3 linked regions of the Diceros bicornis minor genome follow. The protein of the gene in region 3 interacts with the protein of the main gene of each other region in a pairwise test. Links are inferred from orthologs where the notes say so. Each region holds a gene or a part of one and is shown on either strand. Other genes may lie near its edges.

Region 1 (7,890 bases), on a different chromosome or scaffold from region 3:
TGTCATCTGGTTGGAACCATATAGTAGGTAGCCTTTTCAGATTGACTTCTTTCACTTAGTAATATACATTTAAGGTTTCTTCATATCTTTTCGTGGCTTAATAGTTCATTTCTTTTTAGTGCTGGATAATATTCTGTTCTCTGGATGTATCATGGTTCTTTTATCCATTCACCTACTGAAGGCCATAGAGTTTCATTCATGTGTCAGGTACAAGGCTCTATATCTCTCAAACTCCAGGGATATATCCCAAGCTTTCTGAATGGATCTGTTAAGCCTACGCTAACTTAATATGATGAGGAAGTGTGGTAGGCAGAATAATGGTCACAAGGATGTCCACATCCTAATCCCCAGAACCTGGAAGTATATTAAGTTACATGGCAAAGTGGAATTAAGGTTGCTAATCAGCTGACTTTAAGATAGGGAAATTATCTTGGATTATCTAGGTGGGCCCAACATAAGAGTCCTTAAAAGTGGAAGCAGGAGGCAGAGGACTCGGTGTCAGAGTGATGGGATGTGATGAAAACTCAACCTGCTGATGCTGGCTATGAGGCAAGCAATATGAGCGCTGAAAAGGGGCAGTAGTTTCCCAAAGGATGTCAGATATAGGAGTGGGGGATATTGATATCAGAAATAGGGGTGGGAAAGATGCTAGAGAAAATACATAGGGGCTGTCCTGTTCAATACTTATATAAATATTTGCACAGTTTTCATCAGATATAGCTGTGGAGATAGATGTAGATGTATAGACAGTTAGGAAGAATGAACTGTGTATACAGCTGGGTTTTTTTTTTCTGTATGGTAAGTAATTTTTTTTCTTTTTGCTAACCTGCATTTTTTCTATAACGAATATCATTAGTTATATAATAGAGAAATAAAAGATTTAAAAATAAACTATGCATACTTTTTCCAAGAGCCCTTTGCAGCTTTCTTGACATGAATTTGCCCTTCCTACTAAGGCCACAGGCAAGAGCTCCTTGACTTGGATGGTTCAAAGCTGCCTCCTCTGCCTGGAACACAGCAATCCCTCCGTGTAGCCAGGTTGCCCACCCATATCCATACCATGTTGGTTATGATGGCACCAGACATAATGGCCTGTTCACTGAGGTCTGGCCCATTGTCACTGTTCCAGAGAAACTTTCCCCTACATAATGTCCTAAAAAACAGGAACCTGTTCCAGGGTCAAGGGAGACCTGGAGAAGCCCCCCTGCAGTGTCCCCGGTCCTTTTCAGTCTTGGGGGAGTCTTCCCTTCTCCCCAGAATTAAGGATGCCGAATTTTTTCAACAAGAAGAACACTATTCTGAGGGCAGGGCTATGGCTGTCTTTCTCCTTTCACCTGGTGCACAGCAGGCATTCCAGAGGAATGGATGGATGAATGGTCTCACCTACCACTCCTTTCTTCTTCATTTCTCTGCCCTATCCTCTGTTTCCAGGGCACACATCCAGAGGGTGGCATGGAATCCCTTGATTATCTGGGGTCTGCTGGTCAAATCCTGCATTACATTATACACAGGAATCCCATCTGAGGCCTGTGGAGCAGGCCCGACCAGCAGTAATAGCGTCTCCTTTCTCATTTCATAGTCATTCTCCCCTCTCCTGTCCCCCTTCTCCTCCTCTGTCCTCTGTCTCTCTGGTTTATTGTCCACTCTAGTTTCCTCTCTGCCTTAACTGGAGGGACTCAGATTGCTACCCCTCGGAGATGACGCTCGGCCCTGCTGGGGCATTTCAAACAACCTAGGCCTCTTTTCCACTTCCACTGATTTTGTCCCTGGGCCACCCCCAAGCATAAGCAGAGTCTCAACCAGAGAAGTAGAGAAGTGGCCAACTGTTTCCTTCCTCCACCCTTATCCAGAGAAGGTCTAGAACCCCGGGAGCATGACAAATGTGGAAACAGAGAAATGAGCACAGACTTCCCTTTCTTTCATCACAGCGGTGATTTTTGGTCACTCTAGGGCTGGCCCAAAGTTCCTCCTCTGTTTGGAAGAGCTGGGATCTCCTGAGTGTCCAGGAGAATTGCCCATCCATTTTCCTGTCCAGAAACCATGGCTGAGGCACCCGCCTCACGCTCTGTCTTTTCTCCTCCCAGACTGTCAGGCCAGGGGCCAGATAGAGCGCCCAGAGGGATGGGTGGGAGAGGTCCTCAGTAAATACCTGCAGACAAGCATGGCCAAAGGAAAACAGCTGTGACTCACTCCTTCTCCGCCAAGTGGGAAACGAAACTCCTTATGGCCGGGACTTTCATACCCATTGTCTCTGAAACCCCAGAGAGCCCACAGCCCAGGATTCTGGTTGCTTCTTGCCCAGCTTCCTCATGCTGGATCAGCGTCTTGCCCAGTGATCAGCAGAGTATCTACCTGAGGCCCCCATTTCTATCACTTGGAGTAAATGCTCCCCAACCTCAGCCGCTTCTTACGCAGTGGGCCGCAGCTTGGTGAGGCTTCCGGATCCTTTCCTGGGACCACTGAGAGGGCACATGGGCATTCCATCAATAACTCATGCTATATACCAGCAGAGGTTTGGGAAAAGTCAACTTTTTGACAGAGAGGGAAGGGGCCAGATACCCTCAAGTTGTGTTGTGTGGCAGCTTCTCTCCCTGAAATGCCTTAGGAGGAGACCAGGACCCCCAAGGGCAGCTTCTACCAGAGTCTTGAGTAACTTGGATTCTTCTCCACCCCCAGGCCCTGGACTATAACAGGTTGTGAATGTAGGACCAGGATCCAGGAGCAGAAGGGTGGAGGTGACTCTGGGGTTAGACTGGGTACCAGGCACGAGAGCTCAGAAGCAGAACATTCTAACCCCTCTGAGCCCTGGTGGAACCAAGGCTCTGCAACTAGATGAGCAGCTTGAAGAGAGTGAGTGTAGTTATAAATGTTCAGAGACAGGCAGTGAGTTAGTGAGCCTTCAGTTTGTGGGATTAGCTAATGTCAAACGTTAAACAGATTGAAGCTATAGACAGAATGTGGGTAGGGAGGAGATGAGATAGGGTGAATGAACACCATCCTTGCGATCCAGCTTCTTTCCTAGCACTTGGGAAGTATGGCGTGGAGTTCTCTCTGGGTTCCCTCATCCAGTCAGAGAAGCAGCTCGAGTCAGAGGTCTAGTCAGTCTGGAGGCAGGGCAGCAAGGGACCTGTAAGCACAATGGGCGGAGCAGGAGGTAGGATCCTCTCACATATCAAAGGCAGCAGAAGCCCCTGCAAGTGTAGGTGGCTATTCCCTTGGCCCTGCTCATTTAGCTTCCAACCCTTGTCCCTGCCCACTCTGTCATCCAGATCCACTGGCTCAGACTCAGCAAGGCTGGGCCAGCTTTTTAGTCCTGTGGCCAGAGTCGTTTTGCATTCTTGGGTAAGGTGTAAATCATACTTCTCTCATGCATTTACTGTGTAAATGAATGAGAACTGCTGGAAAGAAACAGCAGCTTCTGGAAGACAGATCTCAGTCCACAGACTGTAGGTTTGAGTTTAGTAATGATCTGCCATCAACTCTTCCATTCATTTATCTTTTATCTATCCATCCGTCAATCCTCCATCCATTGATCTTCTATCCATCCATCAATTCATCTTACCATCCATCCATCCATCCATCCATCCATCCATCCATCCATCCAACCACCCATCCATCCGTCCATCCATCCATCTATCCATCCACCCACTCATCCCGTTATCTTCCTTTTCTCCTTCCCTCTCTCTCTCCTTTCTTCTCTTCTCTACTTTCCAAGAAATATTTATTTGGAATCTGTTATGTTCCAGGTTTGTCAGGTTTCACAGACTTCTTCAAAGCATGAGAAGCTGCCCAGGAGAAAACTTAGTCCTTCGCTGAGCCCCTAAATAACTCCTCTCTGCTCTGTGCATCTCCCATATATGAAAGAATGGTTCCCAGCTGAGCCCCCCACTTTGGGAAGCTGACATGTGCAGGAAGCAGGGAGGAGAACTCAAATCTTACATTTACATTTTGAATCTCCAAGCTTCGTTTTATAAAGGGATACTGTCTCATCTAAGATGCCTTGATAACAGAAAGGAGGATATTTTATTGCAATGGTCTCTTTATGGTCTCCCTGCCTGCAGGTTCCCCATACCCTAATCTGTGCTCCTCACCACGATCAGAGCAATCTTTCTATTATGTCCCTGTCCTTGTCTCTCTCCTGCCTGAAGTCACCCATCAGCCAGAGTTCAAGCTCCTTAACATGACCCAAAATGATCTTCATGATCTGATGCCAGGTGCCTCTTTAGCCCCGTGACCTGCCTGCTCCTGTCATATACTGTACACTTCAACATTGCCAAATTACTTGTAGTTTGCCAGCCACTCCATGCCGTTTGATGCCCTCATATTTTTGAATATGCTAATCCTTCCACCTGGAACTTTCCCCCAGTACTCCATTCTCTATACTTCCTTTGAAGGGCATTTTCTTGTATTGTTATGCTCATCACCCTGTATTGTAATTTATTTGCTCAGGCCTGTCTTTCCTACCAGACTGTGAGCTACTTGAGTTCAAGGACTGAGCTATTCACCTTTGTGACCCAGTCCTAGTCCAGTGACTGGTACCTAGAAGACACTTAATATGTGTCTGGTGGATGGATGATGGATGAGAGGAGTCTCATAAGAGAAATAGGATAGCCTTGGGACCAGATAATTAAAGTGTCCATGTAACAGATCCCTCAGGGAAGAAGACAAATGGCCTCTTCCTGAAAGCTTAGATCTTTGAGGAGAGGATTGAGCTATGGCCTAGGCCAGACAAGGTGTCTAAGTCAGGAATGCGGAACTTTGGGATGACATGATGGCTTCCTGTGGGACTCACTTCCCTTTTCCTCTGGATAAAAGGTCCTTGGGGAGAGAGCCAGCTGGAAGCACCTGTGCTGCAAGGGTGAGCGTGCGGGATGAAGGCTGCAGAGAGTGAGGTCCCCGATGCGCACTTCACTGTAGATAAACAGAACATCTCCCTCTGGCCCCGAGGCAAGCACCAGTCACTGCTCAGAATCTGCTCAGTGCTCTGCTCCAAAACCTGCTGTTTGCTGGTCCTTCAACAAACATTTTTTTCTTCCAACAGAGCCTCCTCCCAAGACGGGTCTGCCTCTGGTTCCGAGGAAACTTCTCACAGTCCGTGCTGCAGTAATCTTCCTGACGCTGGTCCTGGTCGCCTCTGTCCTGCTGCAGGCCTTTCTCTGTAAGTCCTCAGGTTTAACTGTCTGGGCCTGGGTCTTCTCCACAGCCAGTCAGCTCTCTCGACATCCAGACCCTCTCTTTCCTGCTCTCCGGTGGTCTCTCCCGCCTGTGGCTTTTTCATTTGTCTCGTTTCTCCTCCTTCCACGTGCAGTCACAAGGATCCCGTTCCCAGTAAGATGTGCTCCTGCTGTCTTCTTCCCAATTCCAGGGAGATTTTCCTGAATAGGATCAACACTTAATGTGCTTATGCTCAAAGATACATTCACCTATTCACCTATTGCCCCAAGAAACGTTCACCTATTTCTTCACCCCTCGTCATTTTCTCCTCCCTCTCTGAGCTCTGTGTCCCTTTGGTTCAGAGCCTTGTGGGCAGCCCCCAACAGTGAGCAAAATGTTTCCTGTCCCCACAAGGAATGGGGTCCCAACTGTATCCTCAGCCCCAACTGACTAGATGGAGAACTTGGCCAAGGAGCCAACACATGTCCACAGCTCATCCCTCACCAGGACCCCGCTGCACTCTCTTCATTCTCCTGTTCCTGTGGAGATCACATTGAGGGAGTCTTCCTCTTTCTTCCTTGGTGTGTGACTTATCTTTCTTCCTCTTGTGGCTTTGCCAAGCCTCATAGCCTCTGCTGCTGGCAGAGCCTTCTTCCTCCCACTGGGTCACCAGAAAGCAGAGGGAGGGAACATCTGTCTTCTCCCTTCCAGGCCTCAGACATATTTGGTCTCAGACCTGGAGCCTCTGAGCAGAGTTTCCTCCATTTTGAGCCTTCTTGGTTTACTTTTGGACTCCTCTATGGCACCCGAGCCTGTGACAGTGGGTGGAATGAAGGAAGGGAAAAATGGTTTCATAATTCTCCCTTTCCGTATTCTCTGGAGAAGTCACTTCCAGATTAGAAGACTGCATGGCTTGCCCCTCCCGTGGTCAGGAGAAGCCTGTGCACAGATGTGGGAGGGGTAGTCCTGCCCTAGCTGATGGCCACTGCATGGGTCTCTGAAAGGAGAGGGCCGGGAATCAAGTGGTGGGGCCCAGAGGGATGTGGGGAGGGGACGAGGGGGTGGTTGAGTTGCCCTGAACACTCAAAGAAAATTGAGGACTGGGTACTAATCCCCACTTCTGCTTGCCTGTGAGGTCCTCTAACAGAGATCCTGTGTTCTATCAATCTCTGCGTTATCTGCAGCCACCAGAGTTCCTGGCACATGGTAGGTGCCCACTGCATGTTTGTTGAAAGAATACATTGTGAATGAATGGAAGATAGGTGACAGCTCTTTGGGTTGAGTCCTTGAGAAGCTTGAGCTTGTCCCTTCCCTTCCCTTCCTTTTATCACCTGACACCCCCACTCCTGCCCCTGGGGATCGCCTCAGCTGACTTCTTGACTTTCTCAAATCCAGATTCCTGGTTTATGGGCACAATATCAGATGTAAAGACCAATGCCCAGTTGCTGAAAGGTCGTGTGGACAACATCAGCACCTTGAGTTCTGAAATTAAGAGGAATAGAGGTGGCGTGGAGGTGGCCGGTGTTCAGGTCCAGATGGTGAATGCCAGCCTGGATCGTGTGCGTTCTCAGATCCAGAGGTTGGAAACCGGTGTGAAGGAAGCCAATGCTCAGATCCAGACACTAACAAGAAGTTGGGAGGAAGTCAATAATTTAAATGCCCAAATCCCCGAGTTAAAAAGAGATTTGGATAAAGCCAGTGCTTTAAATGCAAAGGTCCGGGGACTCCAGAGCAGTTTGGAGAATATCAGCAAGTCGCTCAAACAGCAAAGTAAGTGACTGAGAAAAGAAGTCACTTTGCAAGCTGACTAGTGGCCCATGGGACCTTGCCAACCTCAGGCCTGAGGCCACAGGGCTGGTGTGTGTGGAGGGAGGGGGAGAGGAGCAGAGCAGAAATGGCTGGAAAGTTAAGAAAAGTGGGCTCAGCATTGGGGTTGGGGAAGATTTAGGGGCTGTTCAGGAGAGAAGGGACCAGGAACCAGCTTGGGCTCCCATACCAAGGCACAGAATATGCAAGCATTAGGGAGTCTCTCTGTCCTGGCCCAAACCTAGCCATTTCCCATTAAGTTCCTTTCCTAGAGCCCCAGGGCTCAGCCGCTTGTGATGGCCAATGGAGAATTGTTTCTCCTTCATGAGAGAGACAGATTCTTGACCCATCTACTCTCACTTTCCCCTCTCTGAGCCCGGAGACTCTACCAATCTCAGTCAGACTTACATGATCTAAGAGAGTGTCCCCAAGTCCCTACACAAGGACCCAAGGTCCCCAGAGCCCAGCCCCATTCCCCTCTGGGATCCCACTCAAGTACCCCATCCCACCCAGCACCCAGAGAAGACAGGACACCAGTGGTCACCTTTCACACTTGTTCCCCAGATGACATTCTCCAGGTGGTCTCTCAAGGCTGGAAGTACTTCAGGGGGAACTTCTATTACTTTTCTCGCATCCCAAAGACCTGGTACAGTGCCCAGCAGTTTTGTATGTCCAGGAATTCACATCTGACCTCAGTGACCTCAGAGAGTGAACAGGTAAGTGCCATTCCTATGGGCTCTAGGAAGGGGGTGTATTAGTACCTGTACCAGGTACTAGGCAGGAGGGGCAAGATTATGCTGTGGTGACAAAATTCCCCAATTATCAGTGACCTAACGATGAAAGATTACTTCTCACTTACACTACTTGGCCAACAAGGGCCAGCAAGGGGCTCTGCTCATGGTGGTTACTCAAGGATCTAGGCCAAAGGAG
Region 2 (7,702 bases), on a different chromosome or scaffold from region 3:
GTCGAGAGTGTCGTCATCAAGGGCAGGACTCTGCAGCCAGAAGACTGGGTTTGAATCCAGGCTCTGCCGTGCACCAGCCAGGAGACCTCGGGCAAGCAATTCAACCCCTCGGCGCCCTCCATTTCCTCATCGGTAAAATGGGGATAATAATTCAACACGGAGGGTTGTGGGGAGAACCAGAGGACGTAATTATCAGCTGGCTCAGTGCCTAGGGCACAGTAAGCATGGCACAGCTTCTAACCGGTGGAAGGTTATCAGCTTTCTCTGTAACTGATACCAAGGCTGGTACCAAGGCTGGGGATGAGCTGACATAAGCCACAAAGATGTAAAATGGTTCCCAGATGAGCACTCAGGGTGAGCCAGGCCCTGAGTGCAGGACTGGGGGGATCAGAGGAGAGATTGCAGTCAGCCTCTGCTTGAAACAGGTGAAGGCCATGTTCTCTGAATTCTCCCCAAATGCCACGAGCCCAGGCCTGCCAGGGGCCAATGTCCACTGCATTCAGAAATGGTCTTGACTTTCCATGCCATCTGGAAACAGCGGAGCAACTTGCTGCAGGCAGGTAGGTGACCACCAGCCATCATAATGATGACAGTGGCAAACACACCAGTCTCTCACAGGCCAGTCACGTGCAAGCACAAGGAGGTGGGCGCTATCACTCCCCCACTTCGCAGATGAGAAAACGGAGGCTCAGCAGTGAAGCCATCAGCCCAGATCACTTAGCTTCTGACAGATGGAGTTAGCATTCAAATCCGGGCAGCCCAAGGCCACTCTCCTGCCACTCTGCCCTGGGCTGCATTCCTCACTTCTTGGGCTGTAATGAGAGGCGACCATGGGGGGCCAGCTGCAGGCAGGACGGGTCAAGAAAAGAAGCTGGTCCTGCTACTCCCCGCTTAGGAGTATGACACACCCAGTGACATGACACACCCAGCCCACATTCTGAATCCAGCTCCCAGCAAATACAGAGGCTCACGGACTTTCCTCTCTGCCCACTCCTCACTACCCACCCCCTCCCCTAGCTGGAGCGGCACCTTCCTATGCCTTTCTTCCTTCTCTTCAAGGCCATCTTTAAGCCCCTGATCTTGATGTTGGCTCCTTGATGTGTGTTAAATACATATATATATATCCTCAGTGACATATACCCTCCCAGTCCCAGCACTCAAGGACTGAAGCAATGAGCAATGAGTGGTGGGAACAGATGTCGACACATAGGCCCTTAAAATCATTTGCTGTGTAACCCTGGGTGAGTTGCACTACCTCTCTGATCCTGTTTACTCACTTATAAAATGGAGATGGTAACAGTACCTCCATCACAGGACAACTGTTACACTGAGTAAGAATTCTGTCGCCTCCCTGCTCCGCCCTACCATCTTCAGATCTTTCTTCCTCACCAGCCCTGGTGGCTCCTCCAAATGTGCACCCAGCTACTGGATGAATCAACCAAGGTTTGGGAGGAGAGGATAAGCAAATTCATCTACATTCCTTGGCGAAGGTCAGGTCCCAACATACTCGAGGTGGTCTCTGCCCACCAGGATTGTGAAGATAGGCTTTTTTTTGATGCCTTAAGTACCTACTATGCACAGTCTCTCTTAAACTTCACAGTAACAGATCCTTTGATGAAATATAAACAGCAAGAGATTGAGGCCACACAGCTACTGAGAGGAAGACTCTGGACTGGCCCCCAGGTTGGCCTGACTCCAGAGCCTGCAGTCTTCAGCACCTTCCCACGACACGTTCCCATGATGTGGCCTGCCTCTCCCGGGCAGACCCTGGGTCTCACAGACCACCTCTGAGGCTTTTCTTGGTGCAGCATTCAAGGCTCCAAGGCTAACACCAGGCAGAGTGTGCTACGGCTGTGGGTGACACAAACCCTGGGTGGGGGGGGACAGAGAGGATGCCTAGGGACAGAGGAGGGGCCTGAAAAGAGGGTGTAACAGGCCAGGGGAGAGTAGCCAGGACGCTCCACCAAAGCAGGAGGGAGGGATTGTCCGGGGCTGGCAGGGCTCCCGAGCTGGCTCCAGAAGCACTTTCACAGAGGATCGGAGTGGTGAGTCACCAGCTTCTCCCACACCCAGCGCCCTGGTGGGAGGTGCTGCTCGGTTTGTTGAATGAATGTTGGGCTTAAATGGAAAGATTCTGGCTGGCTGTGGGGAGAAGAGACCTGCAGCCTTTGGAAGAGAACCATCTTCTGCCAGGGTCTCTCTAACCAAATCCACGCTAGGAAGACGAGGGGCCCGAGAGCAGGGAAATGCTCCCTCTCACAGTCATCCTAACTTCTCCGCTCCCGACCTAGCCTACGCCCCTTTACAGCATCACAGCCTCGGTTTACATACCGCCGAGGGCGGGGAGCTCAGTGCCCGCCCGGACAGCGGCACCGCCGGACAGCCCGCCTGTCTGTCCGTTGCTGGAGAGCTCCACCTGGGCGGTCTCGGCTTCCCCACCCTTCCTGCGGAAGGCCCTCTCTCCGAGGTCCCGACCAGCTCTCCGAGTCCGCAAATCTGAGAACCCCGAGGGCCCAGGCGGGCAGAGGGAAGGAACGGAGGGGCTGCGGGGAGGCGCCGCGCACAAGCAGATCCCAACGCCGGGAACAAGACGTCCGCAGCCTCCCTCCCCACAAACCCGCGACCCGAGGATGAGGTGGACCGAAAGGAATCCGGACAGGCTAAGAGAAAAGAACGGACGGACTAGTTGCCGGAGGCACAGACACGGGCACGCAGAGGGTTTGGGGATGGCCGCCCCGACAAGGGTCAGACAAGCAAAATGGACCTCGGCGGCCCTCCGGGGAAGAGGAGGCCGCGGCTGATGGGGAAGTCTGGGTGTGGCCCGGCGGACCAGGAGACACTCACGTTCGCGGCCATGGTAGTACCCAGCTCGCCGCCCCCTCGCTCTGCTCAGCTAAGAAGGGGGCTTACGGCCCGAGTGCGGGGTCCAGTTGCCTCTCCTCTGCGTGAGAGCTGCGACAACCTGCGTTAAGCCCAGAACCAGAGTAGACACGCCAGTAGGTTACCGCCCCGTAGGCCCCCAGCTTTTCTGCTCATGCGCGCCGCACGGCCTCCTGGAAAATGTAGTCCAGGGTCAGGCGCTTTAGCTACAACGTTGCAACATGCACTGTCCGTCATTGATGCGCCTGCGCACTGCAAGCCTTTCTGGGAAATGTAGTTCCTACTCCCCAGAGAGTTGCTGAGCGGCGCGCGGCCTGCTGGGAAATGTAGTTCCTGGCTGAGGCGGGTCAGGCTGGGGCTGGGAGGGCGCGGAAGCAGGCGCGCGGCGGGCAGGCTCGGAGGGGGCGGGTCCGCGGGGGCCTCGGAGCCGCCCGTCGCGCCTGAGGAGAGGTCACGGCGTGAAGCCGCCGCCGCCGCTATCGCTGCGAGATCTGAGCGCTGGGCTGCAGCCATGGCCTACTGCCGGCAGGAAGGTAGGGAGGGCGGGCTGCCATGGAGACCGGCCTACGAGGGCCTGCAGGGGACACGCGGTCTAGGCAGGCCCCGGCGCCCAGCGACCCCACTGCCGGCAATGGCGACCTGGGCCGCGGCTCGGGGTACCCTCCTCCTGACCTTTGGAGCGGGCTGGGCGGCGGTCGCCACCCCCATTTTGCAGATGCGAAAACCGAGACTCTGGGAGGAACGAGGCAGGTCCAAGGTCACGGTGAGGCCGAACTCGGAGCGCAGAGGGACCCGCACGTGGAGACCTCATAAACTAGGCCGGAGGGGGTAAGGGAAGTGCTGAGCACGTTTCCTCTGGCTCGTAACTGGAAATGTATTGTTATTAATTGTTACTGTCCCTCTCACCACGCACCACGTGTTCCATTTGCGTGCGCCTTTTAACTGTCCCCAAAAGTTGCCGCACGGGTTAGGTGCTGTGCTGGAGTGGTAGAGGTGTCGCCAACGGGAACACGTATTGAGCCCCAACTACATATCAGGCACTGTTCAAGGAGCTTTATAAGGCTTATCTCATTGGTCTCACAGCGACCTTTGTAAGTCAGGCTCTGTTGTTATCCGCCTTTTACTAAAGAGTAAACTAAGACTCAGAGGTGACTTGGCTAAAGCCATGCGGCGGTTAAGGCGTGGAGCTGGGGTCAGAGCCCTGGCAGTCCAATTCCAGAGCTGCACTGTCCTATCTGGTGCCGGCTGGATTGCAGGGAGCCCTCTGCTGGGAACCCCCCACCCCCACCCCGTGACCCAACAAACCTGGGCTCCGCCTACCATCCCTCTGCTTCCCTGTTGTTACCTTTACCCGAGAGCTCAGAAGTGTCCAGGTCGGAGGTCCCAGGGCCTCCGGCACACACTGCCATTACTTGGCTCTTTATCCCTGAGCTACCACCTAACCCTCCAAGCCCCAGTTTCCAATCCTGTAAAATGAGAAGTTGGTCTTCATCCATTCAGCAGATACTCGTGAAGCACCTTCCCTGTGCCAGGTGATGGGGATGGTGGACACCTGAGAATATAAAGCTACAGAGAGAGTTGGAACTCATCTAGAAATTCTGTGGTGAATAGTCCCGCCCCTCAGTTTAATTCAGGGAATCTGAAGCCCAGAGAAGATGACCTACCCATACATCCAGTTAGGGGAACAACTCAGTCTAAAATGCTAAGCCTTTTCTCCAGTACCCTACCCTGCTTCTAGAATCCCTCCTCTTCCCTGGGTCATAAAGCCGTAGTACTCACTGATGTCCATACTGAGTACTATTTCTGTTGACTAACACTTCCTTGTGCCATGAACAGAAGTCCTCTGCCCTCACCACTTTGTTAGACAGTAGGTCTCTTGTTTTTAATTTCCTTTTTCTGAGTCTCTAATTTACTTCTTCATTTAGTAAATAATTTTGAGCCTGTTGGATATAATGAGGCTGTGCAGGTAAATAAGGCCCCTCTTGCCCTTGAAGATTTCTAGACGTCACAGGTTATCTGGGAAGGAGAGGCAGTTTCCATCTGCTACCAAAGCATGGATCCTTATCTTTTCCTGGTTGAAAGATCTCTCTCTTAGTTTGGCGATGAGAATTGAAAGCACTCACTTTCAGGCCTTCTCTAGTTTTTATCTTATCCATACTAGTGTCCCCTCAAGCTTCAACTTGTTTCTACCCACTTATTTTTTTATGCTTCCCATGGGACTTAAAAAAAATGATCCCAAACTATTTGCCATTTAAAGGCTCATGTGATCTAGCTCCCGCCCAATCTAGCTTGAGCCTCATCTCTTTCCACCTCACCACTGCTCAGCCACATTGGCCTCTTGGCTGTTCCCTTTGCCTGGTACCTCCTTCCTCCATCTCTTCCATGGCTGGCTCCTCAGCCTTCAAGATTTGGCTCAAATGTCACCTCCTCAGAGAGGTCTTCCCTGACCCTTTGTGTCTTTCACATCCTAAACTCTCTGAAATTACCTTGTTCATTTTTGTCATCTTATTTCCCGTCTGTCTTCTTGGACTAAGCTGAGAGCATTAGATGGGCCACATCCCCAGCACCTAGCACAGAGCCTGATGTACAGATGGATACTCAGATCTTTATTGAATGAACCCATATGCATGCCTGCCCTCTGTTCTGAGTGAATCACTTGCCTGCGCAAATTTACTTCAGGGGTCCATCCACCACGCAGCCTTCAGCACACAGGCCTTAGCTTGGCATTCACGGTGTTCCACAACGTGGGTTCAGCCTCTCTCCCTGGCTTTGGACCACCCATGCTTTTCTGTGTCAGCACCACACTGTTTCTTTTTTGAGTTTCTTCTAATGCTGAGCCTGCCCTCCCCTGTTCAGTCAACAAACATTGATTGAGCTCCTGTGATGCTCCAGCCACTGAGCATGTGAGCACAGATGACACAGTCTGCCTTTGTGGCATGCTGGGAGAGGTGGGCGCTCCTTCTGAGTTGGACATGCTGAGAGTCTGATGTGTAAAGATCCTGTGCATGTTTGTGGTCCCCGTTCTGGGGGAAATGAGACCACCCATCCAAGGGTTTTCTCTCACCTCCTTAATGGTGATAACCGTTCTGTCTTCCTGCCCTCTGCTGGGGCTGGGGTTTTCATGTCCTAATCCAGAGTTCGGTGTCTCCATTTACTTTTTCAACAAATATTGTTTACCCACTATGCTCTGGGCACTGTTGTAGGCTCTGGGATACTGCAGTGAATGGAATAGACAAATCCGTGCCCCTGAGGAGCTGACATTACAGTGGGGGAGACGGGTGGTAAACAGATATATAATATGTTAGGTGAGGAAAAGCACTTTGGAGAAAAAGAGGGTGAGAGATGAGGAGTGGTCAGGGAAGGTGGCATCAGGAGGTGTGAAGTTAGGGAGAGGGTGGCTCTGAGGATATCTGAGGAGAGCATCTGGAGAGAGAGCAGCCTGTGCGGAGGCCTAGAGGTAGGTGTGTGCTCAGCATGTCAAAGTAAAAGCAGGGAGGTGCTGGAATGGAGGGGGCCAATGGTGGGAGATGGGCTCATGGAGGTGAGGGATGCAGATCTTTCTGGATGTGTTTGATGGTAGAGCCAACTGGATTTGATGATGGAGGTGTGAGAGAAAGATAGGGGTCAAGAATGGCTGTATGACTATGGAATTGGGGTATCTTGGTATCCAACTGTTCAATTAGTCCTGTTCTCAGCCCCACCCTGAAGTCCTGTTTTCAGAGTGACCACTGGGGCCTCCGATTCCTGACCCTTACTGGGGTCCTGGGGTGGGGATTAGTTGACTTCCCCTCCTTGTGACTTTGGGTTCAGCTTTCTCCATTTGTCAAGTCAGAGAGCACTCCTCTACCAGCTTTCCTACTTCCAAAATTTTATTGACATGTCTCGCCTCTGATTGTCTCTTTTCCTGGCCATTTTATCCTTATCATTTGATGCCATTTAAAAAATTACTGTCTTTTGAGCAGGATTTCAGGTAAGAGCAGAAACTCATTTCACCTCCTTTGTTAACGAAGTATCTTGACTCTTGCCCTAACCACAGGAGATAGGTAGGCTGAGCTGGTTGGGGAGGCCTGTTTTCTGAGGCCCCAAGACAGTGCCTGAGATCATGGCTGTTATGTGCTTATGCTCAGATTTGAACCCCAATCCTAAGACTCCGGAATATTGATGCCACTGTGAGCCAGACCTCCCAAAGCTGGGCTTAAATCTCAGGCTCAGGCCTGTGCTTTTGTTCTTTCCACAGCTGGTTTTGAGCCCTTACTGTGCCCATGCAACAAACATGAGCACCATCTGGGTACCAGGATTGGGGACGCAAAGATATGTGCCTGCCCAGAAACCACGGTCAGATCACTCAAGGAACCTTCTTTCCCCAGTGCTGTGGTGTGAATGTATCCCCGCTAAATTCATATGTTGAAATCCTAACCCCCATGGGGCCTTTGGAAGTTGCTTAGGTCGTGAGGGTGGAGCCCTCATGGTTGGGATTAGTGCCCCTGTAAAAGAGGCTCCAGAGAGATCTCTAGCCCCTTCCACCCTGTGAGGACACAGTGAGAAGGCGCCTGCTGTGAACCAGGAAGATGGCCCTCACCGGAAGGTGACGGTGCTTGATCTTGAACTTCCAGCCCCCAGGACTGTGAGCAGTAAGTTTCAGTGGTTTATAAGGTACCCGGTTGGTATTTTGCTATAGCAGTCTGAGTGGACCAAGACATCCATGCAGAATGGGAAAAATGCCACCCTCACAGGCTCAGAATGATCAGAGTTCCATGGGATCATTCCCTCCTATACATCATTTCTGTCCGTGAAGCCTCTAAGACTTAGGTTTAAACCACCA
Region 3 (7,692 bases):
CCAAGGTTCTTATCTGTAAAATGGAGATCCCAATAGTATCCACCTCATTCTGTATGAACATGAATGTAAAGTGTTGAGCACACTGCCCATCACATAGCAAGCATTCTCAATAAATGCCAGCTATTATTACTTAGGAGGCCAGGTTCTAGCTGGTGAGGCCTATGTGGGTGTAGTTACAGACATAGGAAAATGGGGAGGAGCAAGCCATTCTAACACTCTTAGAAGAAAATGTCCATTGGGACACCCGGACTTCAACAACTTTGAGCTTAGTGACAATTCATCTAAGTTACAAAGTTCAAAACAGAAGTTAGACTGGGTTTCTAAGCATAAAAGTTTTGCTACTCAAAATGATTTCAAATATGGAATTATCGCACTAAAACATCACTGTGATAATGTATCTACCTCTGTCTTAAAATTACTCGTATTCTGTTACCAAAGCAAGAGTTTAAGAGCTCAGAAGAAGAGTGTCAAAAATGTTAGATTGAATCAGAAGTGACTTCAGTAGGCCTGGAAATCACCACTTTGTAGGGAAAAACAAACAAAACAACCAATAAAAATAAAACCCAAGAGAATTTTACCAAAGACTGCCAAAGGGATAAACATCCTGACTATGGAAAAGATTCAGTTATAGGCCAAACTTTTTACACTATCTTGTTGGTGTGTTTAATGTGACGATGGCTACCAATGTCCCTTGAAGTACAGTGATATACATATGTGCCTCCGCTCAACACTGCTCTTAGAGTTCCAGAAGGGCAGATACCAAATCACATTCACTCTTGTATTCCCCACCATTACTGAACAAATGGGACATATTCCAACATTTGTTGAACTGAAATAAATTTGTGGAACCGGCTGTTCCAAATGAAGGGCTGGCTGTTTGGGGCCTTGAGCATCGACGTGGTTAGGTGCATATTCTACAAAATTATTTTCCCAGCATCTGAAGAGTTTTACGTTAATATAATTAGTCTAAACGCTACAGTAGCATTTACTGCTGTGTTGATCTTTTGCAATCAAAATGATCTCCTTAACTAAGTATCTAGACTACTGGGAATGTGAAGATTTAAAACTTCGTAGCTATATGGTGGACTTGAATCATTCTGCTTTGTGTAACTGGAACTAAATACTGCCTTTGGATGAGTTCTAGACTAGGAGTTGAAAGTCCCCCTGTCACCTCCAACATCTGAAATGGTGGTAAGACTATCCACATAAGATTATCCACATTACTATCCACATTTTCCTTTCAGGGAAGGACAGTATATAAAAGAATGATTAGGTGCAAAGGAAATGGATGCTGTTTGCTAGTTCATCTTTTTCTTGGGCTTGAATTATTAGTATAGAGTTAGGATTTTATTTTTGGGTGAGAAAACAAAAACATTTTGTGAGGGTTATACCTCTAGCGATTTTTTCTGTCATCTTTTATCTATTGTAGAGGAAAGAACATCAGCTTGAGTCGACAAAGCTGGGAGGGCAAAAGAATGAGCAGCCAAGGAAAGCAGCCACTGGGAGAGAAAACGATCAACGCCTCTGAAATTACAAATCAAAGCAGCTAATAAATCTATTCTTCTTTCAAAACTTCAGCCCAAACTTCAACAGATACACACGTGGCAAATGCCTTTATAAACACAAGTCATTACATGGAATGAGGCTGTGTTTTAAAAAATGAGTAAAAGCTGAAATAATGAATGATGGAGATTAATCTTCATTACTAAAATTTTTATCATCTTGTTATACTAGTATCAATAAAGCATCTTAGGTACCCCCAACAGCTTGGTAACATAAAAAATATAATTGGGCTTATTTATTTATCTTAATATCTTATTTAGATATTTATCTTAATGTTACTTAATGTTATAGTGATATAGCAAATACTGAAAGATTCTGTTCCTTTTTGAAAGAATAATGTTTGGGAATAACAATCATGTAAATAATCATACTTCTGGATTAAAAAAACCCAAAGTAGTACAGGGGAAGATAAGTTTCAGTACAGGAAGTTAATCCTTGTGATCAAAATATTTGAATTTTCAGTTTCTTAAACCATAAGAATTTATAGGTCAAACAATGTGCAAATCCTGTTATGCACACGAATCTCATAAGATAGTCATAACCAGTATGTGAACTGTTTTATTACATGTTAGTTGTGCTCCCCCACTCCACCCCTACACCCTCTCTCAATAACAAGTATGTAACAAGTTTAAGTACCCAACGAAAGGCAGGCAGGCAGTCTCAGAGGGGAAAGATAAAGCATATTTTACGTTTTCCACTACTTTTCCCCTCTCTTGAGGGGCACAGTGAAGGAGATGGAGGAAAGACACTCTCAAGCTCTGAATCAAATGACAAAAAACACATCATTGTGAAGCTAAGGACCAGATGACATCTACGAGACAACCGCATCTACCCGCACGTCATTATGAAGTAAAAACAACAGAAATAAATGTTCGCGCTGTCGCTTGACACGACTGAGAGATCTGAGTGGTTTCCGCAGCCCTCTCTCGGGAATTATAAAACACCAATAGTGCTTTCGGCTCAAAGAATTCACATCCCCACCGGACTGCAAGCTACAGTACATTCCTGAAATGCTCCTGTGCTTTTTCTCTACTACAGAATCTGAGGGAAAAAAAAAAAAGACACCCGGCGCCACGGAAAGAGTTCAAGCCTCAGGCAGGGCTCTCCATGTTAAAGTTCCAGAAAACCGTTTCCACTCCCAACTCGTCCCTGGCGGAAAAGTTCGGGCAGCGCACTTTCTGCCGCCTCGGATGGGTCTCAGCTGAGCATACTTACTGGGCCGAGCCAACTTTGCTCTCTTTCTTCCCGAGCACTTTGGCAGGCTTTGTGTCTTCCACATCTTGCTGTAGCTCAGTCATCAGGGCCGCGTCTGGAGGGCACCTTCAGACCTCGGCGCGCCTGCAGTCTCGTCCGCCTCCTCCCCGCCGCTCCCAGCGGCCGGGGCGCAGGCCCAGGAGCCGCGCCGCGCCGTCCCCTGCGCCCCCCGGGCGCTCGGCGCATCCAGGCCGTGCGAGCGCGGCCGGCTGCCAACCTGGACACGGTCGAGCCCGAGCGATTGGGCCGAGCGAGCGTGGAAGAGCCGGAGGGAGGGAAGGGGAGGGTCGAAGCGAAGTGACAGCCTCTTTCCCCAACCCAGGAGGCAGAGGAAGAGAAAAAGGAAACCTGTTGAACTAGTCTTTCTGGGGGAGAGGAAGCTAATTGGCCAAGCAGGTGAAACATTTGCCTAACAAGGCACCATACATTTAGCCTCCTATGAAGTTGGGCTTTTTTCTACCCGGACTGTAACTAGGGGATTTTAAAAATGGGCAGCCGGCTGCAGATACAGGAAATGGGAACGACTGAGGGAGGCTCTCTCTCACACAGACGCGCTGTGTCGGCGGGCCTCTGCCCCTGCCTAAATTATTCAAACAGGATATTGCCTCGTTGAAGGCTGCCTCGTCGGGGTTTAACAATAGGTCAGTTCAATAACAAAGGTAATAAAAGGTGGTTGCTTTTAGTGGTCGCCTGGCTAACCCTTCCTAGTTTTGTGGAGGGAGAAGCGTTCATCAAAACCTCATTAGCAACTTATTTGCTATGCACTCAACCAATAAAATGAATGCTTCCTCTTTCCCGCCTTTTGGTGAGGTTTTAACTTGCTGGTTCTGTCTGAAGTTTTGCATCTGAAGCATCTGTGAATTCATTTAACCAGTTTTTGAGAGCTACTATGTTGCAGGCATTATTCTAAACATTCACTTCTTATAGCAAATAACGTATGTGTTGGTGGTTTTCTAATTTGCTACAGAGTAGTTGAGAATAAGAAAAACTAATATAAAATCTTGTTGTTGGAAGCCTAACTTTAAAACAATTACATAGTGGAGTATGAGATGGCTGGGGAAAAATTACTAAGTCTGTGTTCTGGTGTTGCAAGTCCTTCATTTTTCTTTTAAAATTAATTTTAGATTTAAGAATAATTGCAAAGAATATGCAACCATAGTATTAATATATATATGTATATATGTGTGTGTGTGTGTGTGTGTGTAAAAGAAAACACCTACCCTTCTAAATAACCTCGAACATTTTGGAGATGAAAGCCCTCGCCAAAGTTTTCTTGTTTCCACTCTATCTACTGTCTTATATCAGCAGGCCAGAGAATAAAAGCATCTTTTTGTAGCCTGCTTGTTCCAGAATTGACTCTCGTGACACTTGAAAAATAAGCAAAATGAAAAAGTTTACATAAATTCCGTGAGAGCTGGCCTGGTCAGGTCTCTGTCTTTTGCTTCCTGACCACTGATCCCCCTTACTTGGGGAGGCTGGCTTGGCGGGGTGGGGAAGGCTCTGGGTGTCATGGAGACTTGGAAGCCGTCTCTTCAGTGCCCATAGCTGCCTCTTCCTGCAGACATTACCGACACCTTCACCTCCGAGTCCCTCTTCTAGCTCCCCACCCTACTTGGGGCAGGGGTGGGATTGGAATATAGAGGAAGTCGTCACCCTCTCAAACTCTGGGTAATGACTGTCTCCTTAAATCTCAGGTGCCCTCTAAGCTGCCCCCACTACAGAGCTCAGTCCAGAACTGACTTTTTTTGCCCCCTAAGTAATTTTTTTTATTGCAGTAAAATATACATAATATTTATCATTTTAACTATTGGTAAGTGTACAATTCAATGACATTAAATACATTCACATTGTAACTGTCATCACTATCTGTACCCATACTATTTTTTATCATCCCCAACATAAACTGTGTACCCATCCAACAATAACTCCTCCTTTTCCACTCCTCCCAGCCCCTGGTAACTTCTATTTTACTTTCTGTCTCTATAAATTTGTCTATTCTAGGTACCTCATATAAGTAGAATCATACAATATTTTTCCTTCGGTGTCTGGCTTATTTCACTAAGGGTAATGTTTTCAAGGTCCATCCAATTTGTAGCATGTATCAGTACTTCATTCTTTTTTATGGCTGTATAATATTCCATTGTATGTATATTCCACATTTGATTATCCATTCATCTGCTGAGGAACATTTGGGTTGTTTCTATGTTTTGGCTATTGTGAATAATGCTGCTGTGAACACTGATGCGCAAATATCTGTTCAAGTCCTTGCTTTCAGTTCTTTTGGGCGTATACCTAGGAGTGGAATTGCTGGGTCATATGGTAGTTCTATGTTTAACGTTTTGAGGAACCATGGTCAGACCTCTTTTGATACGTGAGTAAGGTCAAGTGTTCAGAGCTTCCCCAGCATGGGCTTATAGCACAATTCACAAGCACTCGGTTGCCCTGAACTTGTTCTTTAGTGTATGGGCTGAAGACTTGCAATAGTGTGGTTTTAAGTGAGAAAGGAGGGGAGAGGGTAAGGATAGGGGTGGGTGGGGAAAATAGCAGATAGTCCTTTCCTAGAGTGCAGAGGAATTCAAAAGGAGCAAGTAAACCACATTATTTTACCTAGTGATGTTTGCTTAAGTTTAAAAGACATTGTCAAACAGCTTCCTAATTTGGTTATCCTTGGGGCTATTGTACAATAAAATGGAATGCAGTATTTAAAAGGCAGCAACAGACAAACGATAGGGGAAATTTCATTTAGTGTGACAAAACAGAGAGGTAAGATTATGTCTAAAATATATTTTAGAGGGCTCTTTGATTTTGCTCTATCCAATAAAAGACCCTTTACTTTTCTTCCTCCAAGCTTCTGGGAACATAATTTCTTGTTTCTAATATCAAAGAAGAGTGCTAGCTGATACTTTTTCCAGTAATTGAAGCAGGTACAGTAGAAAATGTCTAACCCATCACCTTTCAGTAGATAGGGGCTTCTATTCGACAGCTTAGAGTATGATCAAATGTTGGTCTGTTCTTAACTCTGATCAGATACACTGTGCATCTGTCTGTAGTCATAGGGACAGAGTTTGGAGATCTGAGTGGAGGTAAGGTTCCAATATATGGTCAAGTAGTTTCCTAATTTATAACACGTGGCAGGGTGTGTATTTATTAGCCAACATAAGTACACATAAAGTGTCGTCACATTCCTGTAATTTTATGCATATTGTCTGATGACATGGTTTAGATGTTGATGCTTTTATCAAGATGTAAACTGGAAGCTCTGTAATAATTTAACTATGTATAATATTTAATATATCAATGTCATAAGTCAAAGAATTCTAGGAACACTCATCAGACCTGTTTTCAATTGAAAGTCAATTCCTGTTTTCAATTGAAAGTCAATAGCCAAAGGAGAATTAAATGGGAAAAAAATGAGAGAGTTCAGAAGAGAGCCATACAGTGGTACCGAAGAACTTAATTATAAGGCTTTATAAAAAAAGTTATAAGAATGAAAGTTGAGAAGCATTACCTGAAGGGGATCTTTATTAAATCATTTCTATCAAAAATGAAAGAAAGTTTCCTGATGAGTATAGCCATTAAACATTGGAATGGGAATCTATAGTAGGCTATGGAATCTCCTTCTATAGAGGGCTTTGAAAATAATATTTAAAAAAAAATCAGGGGCCGGCCCCGTGGCTTAGCGGTTAAGTGTGCGCGCTCTGCTGCTGGCAGCCCGGGTTCAGATCCCAGGTGCGCACCGACACACCGCTTCTCCAGCCATGCTGAGGCAGCGTCCCACATACAGCAACTAGAAGGACATGCAGCTATGACATACAACTATCTACTGGGGCTTTGGGGGAAGTAAATAAATAAATAAAAATTTAAAAAAATCAAATAGAATGGTTTTAAACCAGTATCTCCCAAGCCAAGTTATAACGCAGATGCGGAGATTTTAAATACTCTATTTCTCTTTTTAGGGATGAGGCAAGCACTAAGCTTAGCACCTGTGTTGAGAGGTATAGGCAAGATGGTAGGGGCTTACTGGTTGAGGGGCAGATGGTAGTTGGAAAACACTAGTATAAATCTGGTTCTGTGAGAAAGGAGGAGTAAAAAAACTCTTTCAGTTCAAGAGTCTTTTTAAAAATTGAAATAAATGATGCCACATTAAAATCTATCCCAGGGGGCCAGCCCTGTGGCTTAGCGGTTAAGTGCGTGTGCTCCGCTACTGGCGGGCCAGGTTCAGATCCCAGGCGCGCACCGACGCACCGCTTGTCTGGCCATGCTGAGGCAGCGTCCCACATACAGCAACTAGAAGGATGTGCAACTATGACATACAACTATCTACTGGGGCTTTGGGAAAAAAAAAAGGAGGAGGATTGGCAGTAGATGTTAGCTCAGGGCCGGTCTTCCTCAGCAAAAAAAAAAGAGGAGGATTGGCATGGATGTTAGCTCGGGGCTGATCTTCCTCAGCAAAAAAAAAAGAGGAGGATTGGCATGGATGTTAGCTTGGGGCTGATCTTCCTCACAAAAAAAAAAAATCTATCCCAAAGTTTTAAAATATATGTCTACTTTCTGTATGGTAAATGTTACAGATCACAGCATGTGAAGTGGGGAGGCCGCTGAGACCATCCAGTACAGTGGTTTTCACACCAGGTTCGTAGGGAGTCTGGGGCTCTTTGAACTAGTGAGGAGAGGAGCTGGCCTTTGAACTTAGGTCTTCTGTCTCCAGCGCCTGCCTCTTACCACTACTTCAATATACAGCCTCTTCTACTTCAGTTAGAACTCTCCTACTTGTATCTCTTTCATATATTTGTGTTCTGTATTAGTTTCTATCTGAGGGGAGGGGAAAAGTTTGCCTGCCACACACTAAACAAAATTGAAAAATCGAATCCCTGC

The links.
Region 1: the proteins of GRAMD2B (region 3) and CD207 interact in binary tests that used the Homo sapiens proteins (3 or more experiments, as listed by UniProt). The two-hybrid records come from large-scale screens. The link is inferred for Diceros bicornis minor from reciprocal best matches to the Homo sapiens genes GRAMD2B and CD207.
Region 2: the proteins of GRAMD2B (region 3) and TMEM43 interact in binary tests that used the Homo sapiens proteins (3 or more experiments, as listed by UniProt). The two-hybrid records come from large-scale screens. The link is inferred for Diceros bicornis minor from reciprocal best matches to the Homo sapiens genes GRAMD2B and TMEM43.

Annotation. Positions count from the first base shown.
Region 1 is NC_080751.1:17,712,057-17,719,946, forward strand, and holds the start of CD207 (C-type lectin domain family 4 member K), read left to right. Parts: upstream 1-4,871; coding exon 4,872-4,947; intron 4,948-5,041; coding exon 5,042-5,158; intron 5,159-6,549; coding exon 6,550-6,924; intron 6,925-7,524; coding exon 7,525-7,676; intron 7,677-7,890. UniProt on the Homo sapiens protein: Calcium-dependent lectin displaying mannose-binding specificity. Induces the formation of Birbeck granules (BGs); is a potent regulator of membrane superimposition and zippering.
Region 2 is NC_080741.1:88,707,556-88,715,257, forward strand, and holds the start of TMEM43 (transmembrane protein 43), read right to left. Parts: upstream 3,031-7,702; 5' UTR 2,857-3,030; coding exon 2,845-2,856; intron 1-2,844. Other genes in the region: CHCHD4 (mitochondrial intermembrane space import and assembly protein 40), read left to right, coding at 3,433-3,643. UniProt on the Homo sapiens protein: May have an important role in maintaining nuclear envelope structure by organizing protein complexes at the inner nuclear membrane. Required for retaining emerin at the inner nuclear membrane.
Region 3 is NC_080740.1:46,731,573-46,739,264, reverse strand, and holds the start of GRAMD2B (GRAM domain-containing protein 2B), read right to left. Parts: upstream 3,047-7,692; 5' UTR 2,862-3,046; coding exon 2,779-2,861; intron 1-2,778.